Lepisosteus oculatus: one gene and its partner. The protein of the gene in region 2 purifies or fractionates together with the protein of the main gene of each other region. This does not show direct contact. Links are inferred from orthologs where the notes say so. Each region holds a gene or a part of one and is shown on either strand. Other genes may lie near its edges. The genes, in order: zmat2 and xpo6.

Region 1 (7,777 bases), on a different chromosome or scaffold from region 2:
TGGGCTGCTAAGGAACAACTAGAGGTTAAGCTTGCATGCTGATAAGAAAAGCTACATTTTGATGATGATGATGATTGCTTACACTTATATAGCGCTTTTCTGGACACTGCACTCAAAGCGCTTTACAGGTAATGGGGACTCCCCTCCACCACCACCAATCATTCTATTCTTTTTCAAATTGTTGTGAAGTTACTAATACACCAAAAGCCATTTGAGTTTTTCTAAAGCCAAACTGTTAGGGAAAGACCCTGAAGGCCAAAGTAAGCAGACCAGATTAGAATTAAGACTAAAAAAAAAAATACTGAAAACACTGGTTACTGACCACAGTTCTGTAGGGCACTGAATATTTCACACTTTGAAGCCACCCAAGAATTAGTGGCTGAATAAGTTAAATTTAACCAGTGTAGAGCAACAGTTTGTTCAATTATGGTACCAGGGGCTTGGTTACCATTTGAAACAGTAGGTGCTGCAGCTCTCCGGGATCAAGGGTAGATCCTAGACTTGCACTGCATAAGGCAAACAAACTGTACTGTGATTGGAAGCCCTTGGCAAATTACCTCTTCTCTGAGTTCCTTCATGCGCTCTTCAAAGTCATACTCTTTCTGTTTCTCCTCCAGCTTCTTCTTGTTCATCTCAAAACGTTTCTTCACCTGATCAAGGGATGACCGTTCCACCCGCATTGACATACCAAGATTTCTCTGATCTGAAAGCAGAGCCAGCGACAAGATTTCCGACACCTTCATAAAAATGAATTTCCCTCAGAGCGGCAAAATAAGACATGAAATCCATGCTCAAGCATAATATTGTGAGGAGAGGATTGGCACTGCAGAATTATACTGCTCTGTAAAGACACTGTAAAGTTCTGTAAATTATTCTACTACATTTAATTAAAAATGAAAGATGAGTACAGGAAGCAAACGTGAGATTCTTAAAATTATTTTAGTGTTGCAAAATGTCTTGGACATCTATAGAACCAGAACCATCTAGATTAATACAGCAAAAGCAAGAATTTCTGAGATAAACCTTCATGCTAAATAGCAGTATGTTCCTCAAAGTCTGTACTTACGTTTCTTGCCATTGATATGGTCCAAAAAATTGATTGAATCCTTCACTACACAATCACAGACATTACAATAGTATCTGGAAACCCAAAGAAAAACAAACAAAGGGGGTTAAATTAAGATTTCATTGAAAAAATAACCAAAAATACCTTTTTCAGCTCATAACATTTCTTAATCTTTGGTTTCAGTTTCAAGCTAATGCATTCCTATATTGTGGTATAACAGATTAATCCATTTAACAATGACAGTACTAAGCTCGCTTTTTTTCAACTTGCCATCTCTACAGAGTATTCTATTAAAAGAACTGAATGCAAGAGAATTTATCAGGTGTACATAAACCTGTGGAAAAGTGGAAAGTAGTGAACTATTAATTGTTTTTTCTGTTCTGTGTATGTACAATTTGAATATCACCATACCACACACTTGTCCAATAAGTTTCAGGACTTAGAAATCTCAAACAAACAGTAAAGACCAAAACCTAGAACAAGATTTTGTCTCTGAATGAGCAATCAGGTGGGACGACGAGCCTGAAAGTACTTACCCACCCATCTCCGCCTGCGGGGTGGTTTTAGTGATGACAATGGTTTTCCCGAGCTTAGACTCCAGGTCCACTTTGTAGTCCCTGTGTCGTAAAAGCTCCCGTTTAACAGGCGGAGAAGGTTTTCCTGATGCAAAAATAAAACAACCAGACATGAACCAAACTTCACTAAATGAGCCTGTAATGTAACAAATGCAGTTAATGGCGCCAGAACATTTTTATTCATACCTCCACTACATACTGAAGCCCAAATATGTAGGTTTTATTATTTACACCTGAGTGAGATTTAGTGTAGCAGCTCTAAAAAAATGATTTTATGTTTCTACAACAGTACTTTTTAATACACATTGTGAAGGTTTTCTATATGTTATTTGGGACCTCTATAATAAGGCTAAACATAGTATTTGTACCCACATGCTCAAGTTATCAAACACATTTAGTCATCCAATTTTCAGTGTGTGTGGTAACTAACCTGTGAGTTTACAGTCAAAGGGCCGTTACATGACACAATCATTATTCGTGCATTTTATGGAATGGTGAAATGAGAACAAATTCTCATTGACCACAATGACCAGGAGGAATCTGACTCAAAACTACACCATGCTTCTGTTATTTTAACAGTATTTATATTAGCGCAAAGTACTTATTCCTATCACATCATCAGGAGTCAAAATGATTAGCACCTTATAAGATTCTGTAAGACGCAAACACAAAAAAAAACTTTTAATGTGTTTAAAGTTAAAACTAAGGGGATGCCAGAGGCTATCTTACCATCTTTTTTCTCCCTTTCCTCCGTGAGGCGCTTCTGAGCCAGCTTTTCATACTCATCTTTATCCCATTTCCTTCGGAAGTCATTTTTTGTCTAGTAATAAAAGAGTTTTGCATCAATACTAAATACACGATAACTTTAGAAGGTACCATAAGTCCAGCGACATATATGCGATATCGAAGTTAAAACTAGTTAATAAAAAAATGCTATACAGTCATTTGAGCAAATTGTTTTACTTTTTACTTTTTTTCCTAGGAGAATAACGACTTGAACAGAAACTTAAAACACCGAATCGACTTCAGCCAGGCAATAGCTTTTCAGGTGTCATTTAAAAATGCACATGGACTTCAAACTGTCACTCTGCTCTAGATGTCTGATGTATAGAAAATGTATATGGTTGTCCACATATATGTATGAAAGTATTTGGAAAAAAAATACATTTAGATATCACATAGCACGATCTCGAAGAACACCATCTCCATCTCAATAAACCCCCCAGGAAATGATCTTACAATTTGTACATAATTCAGGCAAGTTACAAAATACTCAACCAACAAAACATTCTCACCAGTCTGGGGTATTATTAGTTAAACCATCAGGTCTGGTAGCTAAACTACTTTATCAGTAAGGCGGCTATAATCAAATTAAACCGCTTACGCGATAAATGGAAGTAGACATTTTAAAAACGGAAATATTCTTTGTTGAAGAACTATTGAAACTTGCAGTTTTTTAAATAAAAAGAAAGAACACTCAAAACCTACCCCGCTACCGGACGCCATTTTGCTCATAACAGAATACGGCTGTCGTAAATTATGTAGACGTAAAACTATACCCATGTTTCTGTATTGCCTAGAGTTCATTGGGGTTTCCTGCGTTTTAACCATTAACCTTACTGCCACCCTCTGGACAGGAGTTCTTTCCAAAAGGGGGAACAATTATCATTGTTTTTCCGAAACACACAGTATTTACATCATTTCCGATGAGGATGGGCTACAGTGTACAAAATAAACGGATGAAAAACATTTTTGTGTAATAAAAGTAGTATTAAATAACAGTTTACGTTTAAAATCAGTTACCACAAAACTATAGTTTTTCAAAACATTTGTACAATAAATTTTATAAAGTTATAATCATAGCACTCCTCACTGGGCAGGAAATATCGGGCAAAGTCCCTCGTCTTCATGAATCTTCTTGAGCATTTGTGGTGCAGATATTGACAGATATCTGATATCTCACAAAAGAATTATTTCTTACAGAAACTAACACACACAAGATGTAATTTAATATTTGCTCTACAAAAGGAGTAAGTACTTCGAACATTTTTAATTTTTAAATAGTTTTACTTGTTAAACGTAATAGTTCCACTATTCTGTGACTCACTTTTCTGTGTCTTGTCTCTTTTACCACCTTATATATTCTTTATATACTTCCTTACTGTTGCTTTCTCTTTGGCTATTGTATTTCACAGTGCATGATCTGCAGTTTCTCGTCCTGTAAGTGTCCAGGATAAGTAGTGAAGCCACCAGGTCTCCACTGTAGTATTTCATCTAACTTCCACTGCAGCTGTGTAAACATTAACATCCATTTTAATCCTATCATCCCAGTCCCACTACAGCCTGTCGTGGGGGGGCATTCCGGTCTCATATAAGGGTCATGAACTCTTATATACTTTTAATTAATAAGACCCCATAGACAATATTACAGGATGTCTCAAGCAGACGTAATTAAGGTTTTGTCGAAAAAAAGTAAACGCCTTGCAGTTCCTTGTAAAAAAAAATATCTGTGCATAATTTGATTATGTTAGAGTAGAAATGCTCCCAGTGTAACAATCAGCTCGTATTCCTTTCTATTATGGGAGGGAATTGATCCATAGCACAGCTGCGAAATACCCAATCTAAGTTGATCTAACTTTATTATAAGTTATTAACTTAATAACTAACAAAGCTGCTAAACAGGGCTGTATGGTCTCTCGTTTGTACCTGAAACCATGATTTAAAAAAAAAAAAACTGTACCGAAACGTATTTCTCAAGACGAAAACTCTTAACAACATTAAACAGAAAAAGGTAGTTTTGATTCATAACAACACTGCGCACAGCCCTCACTGACAGCTCCCTTTGGTGGTACTGTATGCAACAGCACAAACCGACAGTCTTCTTGCTGAAGTCTTTTCGGATCAACACCGCAGCTCCTCCTGACCTCGAGTTCAGGCACGCGTCCTGCAGCCTACGTCGCGTTGCCCAAGGCATTAACGTTCCGATCGCAGGACGACGGCGAAAAAGTGCGGTAGTTTCCAAATGTATTATTTGGGAATTTCATTATGGTCCAGAAATACGTCGGGCGAGAAGGAAGACAATTTGATAACAGCAGCTTACGCTGATATAGCCCGCGTTTTGTATAGCCAGTGCCGAGAAGGTCGAAACTGAGCGAAAAAGCTTCAGAGGAAAGTCCTAGAAGAAGCAAAAAGTAAAAAAGAAAAACGACTAAGAGAATATGATTCTGGCCTTTGACGCATTTGATTTTAATCATGCTCAATGAGACGTGCTCGTCTCATCGTGCTCATGCAAAATCCTACGCTCGATCTTCCGTTGCAGGCACAGAATGAACGGATTATCACTCGACAGCAGCAAATATATAACATTCTGGAAAACGTAATAACTGCTTTCGTGTGGACGCCCGCTGTCTGTAACCACGTTTCCAGCGCCGGCCAGCATGGGCAGTGCGTCTTAATAACACGTGGACGCAGATCGCACCTTCTCCGGAAAACGTGTTTTGGTGTAACTGACGCAGATGAGCGTGAAACGCGACGATATCTGCTTTGTAACATTTTATAGTGAAATTCCTGAAAGCAGTCAAGTGATAAGTTATTTATGTCATGTACTTTTTTAAAACGTTGTCATAAAACATCGCACAATACTCGTATATAATCTGGAAATAATCTACGTTCACAGACCAATTCTAAGAACATGATTAACGTCGTTTTTCTAATGTTGTAAGATTTTGTTTTTTTGCTGTTGTGACCATGCTGTGATTTGTTTTTTACATTTCAGAAGAACTGTTCCCTGAATTGTGATTTTACCAATTCGTGCGTTATTTACGAATTTCAACGCCTTCATTGCAGCACCGCCTACAACATGCAAATTATTCAGAAAGATACTTTCTCGCTTGTAGAAGTTTCCAGAAGTCAAAAGTTGTATGCAAAAGTGATTGCGAAGCTGAGAACAGTTTGTGTTGCAGTAGATTTTGAAAAAGAATTATAAATGGAGTCGACAACGGTAGGTTTTAGGTTAGACGTTTTCTCATTGAAAAAATAAAATACGCAGGTGTTTTATTTCAGTAATATCAAAATCGTTACAATCTGCTAAAATAAGGTGTTGCCGACACTTTTTTTCCCAGAGGTCAGTTACGTAAAACGTTGTTAATGATCAAGACCTTTTCATTTAATTTGACTTTTTGTGCAGGTTCTGGTTTTCAAAAACGCTTATGCCGGAATTTCACCGAAAAATACAATTGCGCACCTGCTGTTCATAGACTTAACAAAAGCTATAACATGGGTGGTTGAGGTTTACACGGTTTTTGGGTCAGTTGTCCGTTTGATTATGCATTAATATTTTTTAAATTATTTTTGCATATTCCATTTTTTTTAATGTTAGGTTTGTGAATCGTTGTTCTTATATATCCTATTTTCCTGAAACGATTTCCAGTTTGTCCTAACCTTTTCTAGATTTTTAATTTTAAGATGTCGTTTTTAGTGGTGTCGTATTTGTTGTTGAAACTGCTATCACTATCAATAAAATATCCGTCTCTGCACAGTGATTTATTTGCGATATTTAAGCTTTTACACATTATCCTATCACATTCCCCTAAGACTAAGAACTAAATCACTTCAATACTTTTAAAATGGCAAACCACACCTACCCACGTATCTGTACATATTTGAATATGAGTGCGGAGATGTGTGATTTAATTGGTACATTTCTAGTTATTAAGTGATATATGGCTTAATTGCCAGTGTATGAAATATAAGGGTCAGTACTGGAGGAAGAGTTTCCATAAGATTCTAATAGACTAAAAATCTACTTAGGAGGGAGGTTATCAAAAAGAATACTGTTCCAGATTAATAGAGTAATTACTCTTTTCACAATGGTTGAGAAGGACAAAAGAACAACCTGATTGTTAAATTATTGGTTCAAGTAGATTTTTTCTTTAAAAAATGAAGTGAGAATTCCTTGTTTAAGCAAGGAATTATTCTAATTCTTTATAACAGTACGTTACTGTCGTTCAGCATAATGTAAACATTTGTTAGTGTTGACTGTTTTCTAAGCCAACAGCACTTAAAGAAATTGAGAACGTTTTCTGGCAGTCTTGGATAAATACAGCTTTATTACCACCTTAGAGCTTGATCTCATCTGATCTCAAAGTCTAAGCTGAGCTGGGCCTGGTTGGTACAATGCTGGGATTGTAGATTTCGGAGGGAAGCCATAGAACTGTTCAAAACGGTAGGGTTTTTAACTTTGGTATATTGGTTTTAAACAATCTTGTTTTCCTAACATTCAAATTGGGCTAAAAGGCACAATACATTGTATAGGCAAGGAATTCGTATAATATATATATATAATATACTTATTACATTAGTTATTTCTCCTGTACACAGGACATACTAAGTACAGATGTGCCTTGTAAAGATGATGTTTCCTTTCTGACGTTTTAGGATAGCTCCCATAGTATTTTAAACTTTGTGAACAAAGAAAGTTGGGAATCCCTGCAGGCTTGGAAAAACAGCACAGGAGTCTCTCTTGTGCAGATCAATGGACAGAGAATATATGGAGGTCCACCAGCAGGTAAGCCATGTTTTCTCATCCTGAATCCAAACAGTAATTTTAAAAAGTGATAGGGAAGTCATAAACTTATGACTTATGGTTATGGTTTTCTAATTATTATACTGCATCACTTAACAATTAAGAATTCTTTTGGAACAAGAGCTGAGTTAAAGTTACTGTGGCTGAAAAGGTAATTTCATGTCCTTAGTCTACTCTACAGCCCATCTACAGTATTCACAGAAACTCATTTCAAGTGAAAAGCTGTGGTTGTATTTTTATTAAATGTCCAAGTCTTCCTAGATGGTGAATGTAAATGGTGCAGATTTTTGCACAACAGTAATGAACACAGATAAGGCATTATTAACATGCATTCTTTAATTAGGAGTTTAAGATTTGACAGTTTAGTTCAACATGAGCTGAGCATGATGATTTTTATGAAGCATGTAAAATTAAAATTATGGATATACTAGGAACTTGAAACCAAGTATAGTGTATAACCATGGATATTTCCATTTTGCTGGAAGTATTTAGGGAATTTGTGAAATTCCTGGGTTTAAGTTCTCCTGCTAGAGGTGGGGGTGGATTAGACTG
Region 2 (8,221 bases):
TAAATTTCCAAACAATACAATCAAAAAAGGCTGTTACCGAGATCACAGTTGGACTGATTGATCATTTAGTGACCCAAGACAGACACGGTGAGACATTCCCCAAGATCTCATTCCCACAGATCAATTACTTGAGCCCTTTAGCCTCCTGGAGGATTATAGTTGTTTAATGTTGATTGTTAGAACTGGCACTGTGTAAGTGAAATAAAATTACAATTCATGTATCAACAAAAAAACAACGTATGTCTGTATAGGTATACACAAGCACTGTTTCCCTATAGCATACAGTACATTAACTAGTAGATCCTAACCACCAGCTAGGATGAATGCCCAACAGAAGTAATATCGACAAGTATGCCCATCTACGACACAAGATTACTCCCTAGTTACAATACAGTAATATTACATTACTGTAGTAATATTACCATGTTATTTCTGATGAATCGCATGAATGCTTATGAACCTCAGATTGTACATGAGTACACAAAACTGTGTAGGAACAAGGAAATCTTCCATGTACAATGGAATTGCAGGCATAAATGCCTCAAGTAAAGGTATGCAAAAGTCACAAGATTTAAGGTAGGAAGGGGGGACCCATCTCTGTAAATATCTATGCCATGCAACAGGAAAGACTGCGATTTAAAAACAGGAAGCATCCCGATATCCAAGAGAAACTGGGGTCACTGAAATCACAAGTACAGCAGCCACAAGGCTGCATCTGCAGGTTGAACTAGAGGAAGGCCAACTACAGCAGTTCAACCACCTCAGGACTTCATATCACTGCTCACCTCCACTCCCAGAGAGACACTGACTCACAGCAGAAACACTCACCAGCGCTGTCGTTTCTATTTGGGTATCCACTAATCAACTACTGCTATTTACAACTGTCTTGGCAATTAACACACTTACTGACGAAATTCTATACAGTAACTTGAACACTAAAGATCCCCACTAGACAAGCTTCTAGGGCCACTTCTAGGTAGAAAATACAAACCCATCATCTCAGTTCTCTAGAAAACCTACAGACTGAGGCCAACAGTTGGCAGATGACATTTAACAGACCAGAGCAGAGTGTTACAAGCAGGTAGCAAAAATGGAAACTGAAAATGAGCTAATGCTGAGCTCAAAGAAGGGTGCCTTAGAAAAAGACTGAAACGTTGACACTTTTCTGCCTTAGACAATGCAATAAAAAGGCAAACAGAATGTTAGGATGTGTAGTTAGAAGTATACAAAGTAAATCATGGACTGCTAGATTAAAACTGCGCCATGTTCTAGTAGCGTGATATTACAACTGATATCCTGATTTCTTTCAAGGAAGGGTTGGAATAGATCTTCAGATCAATGGATGAATATCTACCAAACTTACAAGACAAGGCCTCATTTATGACCTTTCCTACAGGTTCCAAACGCCTAAGATCACAGTGATACAGCCATACAGAGGGTAATAACAGAAGATGGTGAAGATCTGGAGAAGGCTCCACAGTCTAAACTTTGTGTTTCTTTTCTTCTCTTTTCAGCATGGAATAAACCTATTACTTGTTCCTTTGCGGCCTACACCTGGACTACTATAGAAGATGGTGTCCAGCTATGTCACAGATAGATCTGACAGCACAATAATAATACCCTGGAGAATCTTCACTTTTCACTATGAAGATGTTTTACATGTTAAAAGGACAGGGCCTATTTCAGGTCTAGTCATGGGGGACGACACGAAAAGACATATTCTCTATATGAATCAGCAGACCTCCTGATTCTCGCGGCAATGTTGGGCCTGTGAAAATCCAACATCTCCAATATTTTGTACAGGAGCGTGGAAGTGAAAGAGAGCTGGAAGAAAGGAGGGGGAAACGGAGCAACACTTCCACATCCACGTAGGAAGTCAGCAGGCACGATCTGATCGTGGAAAACATACCTGACATTTTCTACCGTACCGGTAAATTCATTGCGTCACCAAAAAAAAAAACCCGTCACTGATGCGTAAAAAACAAAACTGTTGTGTTTACAACAGTGGAATTCAGGAATAAGCCAGAACACGCAAAGGATCGGGGATTCAAATATTTATCGTTTAACTAGCTACCTGGGAGGCTTGAGTGCCAAAGCGATCTCATTTCCTGCTCTGCACAGAGGTCTTCCAAAACGCACACGTACGGGGATTTAAGACCATGAGGTCACGAACTAAAACCAGGCAAGTCCAGCTTCCAGGTGGGGCTGCGCACTGGTGGTGGAGGGGAGTCCCCATTAAAGCGCTTTGAGTGGGGTGTCCAGAAAAGCGCTATATAAGTGTAAGCAATTATTATTAATTCGGGAAGGCAGTGCGTAGGTGACTTCAACACACCGAATTCGTATTTAGACACCAACATGACTGTATTAGATGCCCAAATACACGGCTGCTGTAACGCCAGTTACATTTTTGAGCCGACAAAGCGATCGGCGTTTAACTTTAACGCGTAGCCGAGCACGGTCCCCGCGTTCAAGCCCCCCAAGCGCCCCCCGACCCGGGATGGAAATGCGGTTTCACGCACTACAGCCCCCCAGGTGTCGAGGCCAGCATTTCTGCTCACGGATGCCTCCAGCGAGAGAGGGTCCCCGCGGAAAGGGGGAAAACAGGTGTCACCCGAGTTCTGCGAAGGAAGAAGGGGGTTGCATTTCAGGAATGGCGATACCCGAGTTGCATCAAGAGCCACTCACCATTCCTGGAGCCAGCGTTGCGCCTCCGGGCTGTTCGGACTATTGCTTCAATTTGAGGTGTTGGCTGTTTCTCTTCACGTTCATACCTCCCCGTCTACTGACAGCAGAACCCGCTCGACTGCTCGCCCCTGAAAAAAGCACAGGCTGCCGGTGTGGCCACACAAACCGTAATACTTGATGCGCTGCCCTCGATACGGCTGCTGTTGATAAATCCTGCAGCCCAGGGTCCGCTATGGTGGGGGTGGGTGGGGGGTGGAGGGGGAGAGAGAGTCTTTACGGGACTCTTTTTGGGGAAAACCGGATGAAAACAGTGGCATAAAACCAGCGAGCAAAGCCCTTTCCTTCCATAAAACCCGCCGCGCCCCCTGAGATGTCGTCTTTGGGAGGAGGGGAGGAAAAAAACCCAAACACAGTACACTACGATAAAATAGACAAGTTCCTATTTTTCAGGTTGTTTTCTCCAGCCTCCTAGTAACTCTGCAGGTCTCCTCTCCAGTCAGGCCTCAGAACTTCCTCTCCGCGCAGCCCCTCCCCGCCGGAAGTGAAATCTTAATCTCGGGCCGGATGGAACCGGCTGCAGCCAGCCACGCGCTCGGGACTAGCGGTCGCGCTGTAGTTCGGGCTGGGCGCGGGTACGTCAGCGCCCGGGGCAGAGCCGTGAGAAAGAATGCGACCTTACAGCATCTGCCCCACGTGTGTAGCACAGACGCGAACGTACAGATGAACATCGAGCAGGGCGGCTTCCCGGCGCAGGCATGAATATCTCATACAGCCGCGTTTAAAAAAAAATAAAACTGAACACGTTAAGGCATATCAAACAGGAACGAAATAGTTAATAATATACTAGAACGATTTATTTACATGAAGTTGCAGAGTTAGTGTCAGCCCCAGGCTGATGTTCAGCGCACACGTCTGCGTTGAAAAACCAGTACGAGCAAGCCTTTCTGTGCGATTTGAGTCATTTTTAGGTATTTCATCTTTGCGAGCAATAGATTACATCAGCAAATTAAGCCCACTTGTATTTCGTTTTTTCTCCGCATGTCTCTGTATACCAGGATTCTCCTTGCGAATTGCATTGTTTTTAAGGGGACTACAAAAAGAGGTTTTTAACACTTATTTTTAAAATTTAATACTAAATAGACAGCAGGCTCCATCGCTGGATTTCAAACTCAATGCGGCTACATGCAATTTGAAATAAAAACGATAACCCTCCCATTTCTGCATTGAAAAAAATGTTTTCTTCCTTAGTTTCTATTTTACCGCCCAATGGGCAGATATACTTGCGCATAAAAAGTCTTCCAGACATTTTTGTGAAACGCTCTGTGGAAATGTGCAATCAAGGGTGTTATACATAACAAAGGATGACTAATTAATCACCCACCAGCTGCAGAACTTCATATACCCGAATTTCAATCCACCCTTGCTACTGCACTAGCCGGGCAATTTCTGTGTTTCTTAAAGGCGTAGAAATTAGTTAGCATGCAAAAGGAAAGTGACACTGAAAAAAAACCACACAGTAACCTCACCGTGTATGCAGAGGTTATAAATGAGGTCACAGGCCACATTTGAAGTTGTCAGCCTGCTTCAAAGGGTGAGGAGTTCTCATGATATGATCCACAGTGTTCTGTGTGCGGGAATCCTCTTTGAAACATTATGTCCAGCGAATGCCTTCAATGTTCAGATTAAGAGGAAATATGTAACGCTCACAGAAATACTACCTGAAATGCTACTGTTACGGACGTTACAATGGACAATACAGTAAATTTACACTTCTCTGGCTTCGAAGCACGGAGTAGAAACAACGGATCGAAGACGGGTTTCAGGGGGTCTGAGTGATATTGATCAAATTGGACTGTCTGGTTTACCTTGGTTAATTAAACTCTTTGTAAGTCATTACAAGTCATTACCAGCCCAGGACCAAAAGATAAAAGTTAGGTGAGCAGAAGCAGGAAAAACACAGGCCTTGTTTGAATCAACCACAAAGGCCAGATTCTAGTTAGGTGTTTGAATCTTATTTAAAAGTGCTCGCCGTTCTGTTATTTTAATTTTTGTAGAAAACTCTGATTTCCTCCATAAGGAATCCCCAGGTTAAAAAACGTCCTCCCCTCGTTAGGGGATGCACATTTGTAGACGAGGGAAATAATGTCACATCCTCTTTGGATCATCTGGATTTAAAGGAAAGGACATTTAATTATCGGTTTAATTCTGTTTTATGTAGGATAGGGGTTTAGCTCTCTTGTGAGCCTGTTTAGGCATTATATAAGTTTTCTGAGCACTGGGTTTGCTCTCTGGATTTTTCTGGTTGGTCAGGACGTTGTCCTCTGAGATGCCTTGTTTCTAAGAAGCGTTATGTTTTATGTTGTATGTGTGTAACTTTGTGTATTGTCTAGTTATTGTCCTTGTTAATAAATATTTGCATGTCTTAGTTTGCCTCTCGTTTATTACTCTTTCTCCAAAGTGCCAGAGAACACAGAACTCAGGTGTCTGTAACTATGCCAAACTCTTGAGAATATTCTTAGCATATCTTTTTGGGTGTTATGATTATTTATTTTAATTATTGATTATCCCACTCCATATTTTCTATTTTTATCTCCTCTATTTGTAACAATACGATTCCAGTTCAATAGATCCAGCAGGTTTCACTGAACTTAAAGTGGGGGAGCCTAAAAAGACTATTGGTTTAACATGCTCCTAGCTGGGGAGGGAAATGTTTTCCATTTGTCACTTGGGACTTTGACCAGAGATGGAGACGTTGCATTAGAGAAGCAGGGGATTTAAATTTCATCTGCCTGGTAATTAAAATGTCAAATATAATTTGCGTCTCAGAAAGCACATGCGAGCAGGATGTCCTGGTGAAACCCCTGAGATGAATTCCCACACGCCAGCCGACATGTCATTTCTGCTTCACACTGTCCAGATGACCTCAGTGGGGGAGTTTGTCGCATTTCTCATTTTTGGTCTTCGTCAAGCTGCTCCTGAAGTGACTCAGGTCTGTCTCGACAAGCAGAAAGACCTGCTAATGCTAATGCTAATGACAGCACCCATGGTGCACCAGTACACTCCAGTACACTCCCCACACACCAGCTCTCAGTGGGGAGGAGAGCAGAGTGATGAATCCAGATCAGAGATGGAGGATTATTAGGAGGCCATGGTTGGCAAAGGCTACAGGTGCCAGGATGGTGGGTTAACATTTCTACTCTTTCCAAGAAATGCCCTGAGATTTTTAATGACCACAGAGAGTCAGGACCTTGGTTTTACATCTCATCTGAAGTACAGGGCCTTTTTTCTAATGACCACAGTTTAACATCTCATCTGAAGGATGCTGCCTTCTTTTTTTTACAGTATAGTGTCCCCACCGCTATACTGGGGCATTATGACTCCCACAGAGGCTCTTTGTATACAGCAATGGCTCCTGCTCACCCTTTTAAATATGTTTTCCCCATCTTCACTGCAGCACTGTGGTTCCGGATTTCTTCACATCTTACACACAGGAGTTTGCAAACACCAAATACGGTAGTTTATTTATCTTCAATTCAATTCAACTTTATTTGTCATTATACTTACCCGGGTGCATAGTATAGTGAAAAGTGTTTCTCATTAGTCTCTCAGGTGCAGTATATAAATAGAACAGCAGACAAGACAGTAGACAGAAATACAATGACAATAACAGTGTAAACAACAGGATGTTGAGTATCTTGAGTTTGGTGTTATGTTTGGATGGACAGTATGCATGTACTCTGTACTTCTTATTATTTAGGAAATGTAAAATTGCACAAAGAAAATCACCAAATGACGAGGCTCTGTCTACAGAGCCTTAATCTGTTTTGCTCAGATCGCAGGTGGAAAGGCGGGATCGCAGTCACGTGAGGATTTTTCTGCTTTGTTCCTGGCATTTTTCTCCCGTTCAATATCGGATAAGTAACCTGGCCATGAGCAAAAGGACAGTGTTCCCAGAAAAGGAGATGCCTGGAGCCAGTCATTTGAAAATCAATTCCCATGTCCAGTGAAGGCCAGGGAACGGCCGTGGTTTTTCAGTGGAGGAACAGGGCGTATTGATCTTTGCTGTCTGTGGGGCCAGGAGGAGATTTGACAAGATTCATAAACATCCTATAAAACTCTATTAGGGACTTTAGCCCATAAATCAGTATGAGTTCCTCCATTAATCCAACATGGGCCCAAGACTGGGGACAGAGATAAGTCAGACAGATTTGCACCGCAGACCTGTTGAAATCCTATAGGGTTTTGCTCTGAAACCCATTACCAGTTATCTTGCAGTTTTTTTTAAATCTCATCTGCCTTTTTTTCCCTCCACTCTATGACACAAGAACTATGTTGCAAACAGCGTGGAACACCTCCTGAAAACTTAAAATTCTTGTTCTGTTCCACGTTGTCTCGCTAACTTGTGGAACGATTTTCCCAATTGTGACGGAACCGCAGTGTACAATCCACTTGTTTCTGGTTAATGCTGAGAAACAGGCAGGTTTCCTGTAGGAAACATGAAGACGTGGTAATATCACAATTCCTGATACTACTGTGACGATGTGCAACATTATTACTCTGTAGTTCTCATCTCTAAATCTACCCCTTACCCTCATTAGCTCACTCAAATCAACACCTCATCTTTGCTCTGGGGCTAGAATGCCTCTTCTATGTTTTACTGTGAATAACAGACACGGGAGAAGAAAGCCAACTTTGTCGCAATGCAGAGCACCGAAGAAAACGTCCTAATCACGATCACTCCCCTTCTGTTTCAGACACAGATCTCAGACGGGTGGCCAAGGCGCTAGCGAAAATGAAACCAAATTACTCTGTGCTGATTCCCTGGGATCCTTCAAGAGGCTAAAAAGTCCCAGATCAATAAGTTGCTGGGCGCTGCACGCGCGTTAATGGACTGCTAGGACTCGCCTTGTCTATTAGGTTGTGTTGATGAAGGGGAGAGGTCGAAAGAATGTGGCTTTTTGATCGCTCAGTTCCCTGGTTCTGTCGATACAGCTTCGCAGAAGTTACCAGCCTCCAGTTGCCAGATATGTATTAATCTTCTTCTGGGGCTTGGCATTCATGTGGGAGGAGGGATTCTATAATGCATCTGGGCAATAAATGCAGGAGACACTCTGGCCGGGGAAAGAGTCACTGTCTCCTGCTCAGAATGGGAATAGAACAAGGGAATAAGAATCTGATCCCTAGATTCATCAGCTTTAAGGTCTTTTACAAGACTCTGCCCTGATCCAGAGCTGCAACACCAGCCAACAACGTTCCCTTCGATTCGTGAAAGATGGGCCCAGCACAGATTGCTGTTCGCTGATGTCAGTGCACGAGCAAGCATCATTAAAGTCTTCCACTGGTAAGTCCTGTCTCTCAGATACAGCCTGTTTGGTGATCCTAGGTGTTTCCTAATGTTTTGTGATTGAAAAGCAGTGCCCATGTTCTTGAAAAGGTACCTCATTTCCACACTCTTTCTTGGTCCAGAACTAAAGTGCTGACCTTATCCAAATAGAACTGAACCTGAAATTGAGGGCAAAATCTGGATCCCCTAGAG

What was found.
Region 1: the proteins of xpo6 (region 2) and zmat2 purify together in Homo sapiens (co-immunoprecipitation; 3 studies listed by BioGRID and IntAct, with this or other methods). This does not show direct contact. The link is inferred for Lepisosteus oculatus from reciprocal best matches to the Homo sapiens genes XPO6 and ZMAT2.

What each region holds. Positions count from the first base shown.
Region 1 is NC_090706.1:32,663,276-32,671,052, reverse strand, and holds the start of zmat2 (zinc finger matrin-type protein 2), read right to left. Parts: upstream 3,234-7,777; 5' UTR 3,229-3,233; coding exon 3,130-3,228; intron 2,462-3,129; coding exon 2,371-2,461; intron 1,727-2,370; coding exon 1,603-1,726; intron 1,141-1,602; coding exon 1,067-1,140; intron 704-1,066; coding exon 558-703; intron 1-557. Other genes in the region: dnd1 (dead end protein 1), read left to right, coding at 5,627-5,641, 7,078-7,207. UniProt on the Homo sapiens protein: Involved in pre-mRNA splicing as a component of the spliceosome.
Region 2 is NC_090714.1:6,632,981-6,641,201, forward strand, and holds the start of xpo6 (exportin-6), read right to left. Parts: upstream 3,271-8,221; 5' UTR 2,689-3,270; coding exon 2,686-2,688; intron 1-2,685. UniProt on the Homo sapiens protein: Mediates the nuclear export of actin and profilin-actin complexes in somatic cells.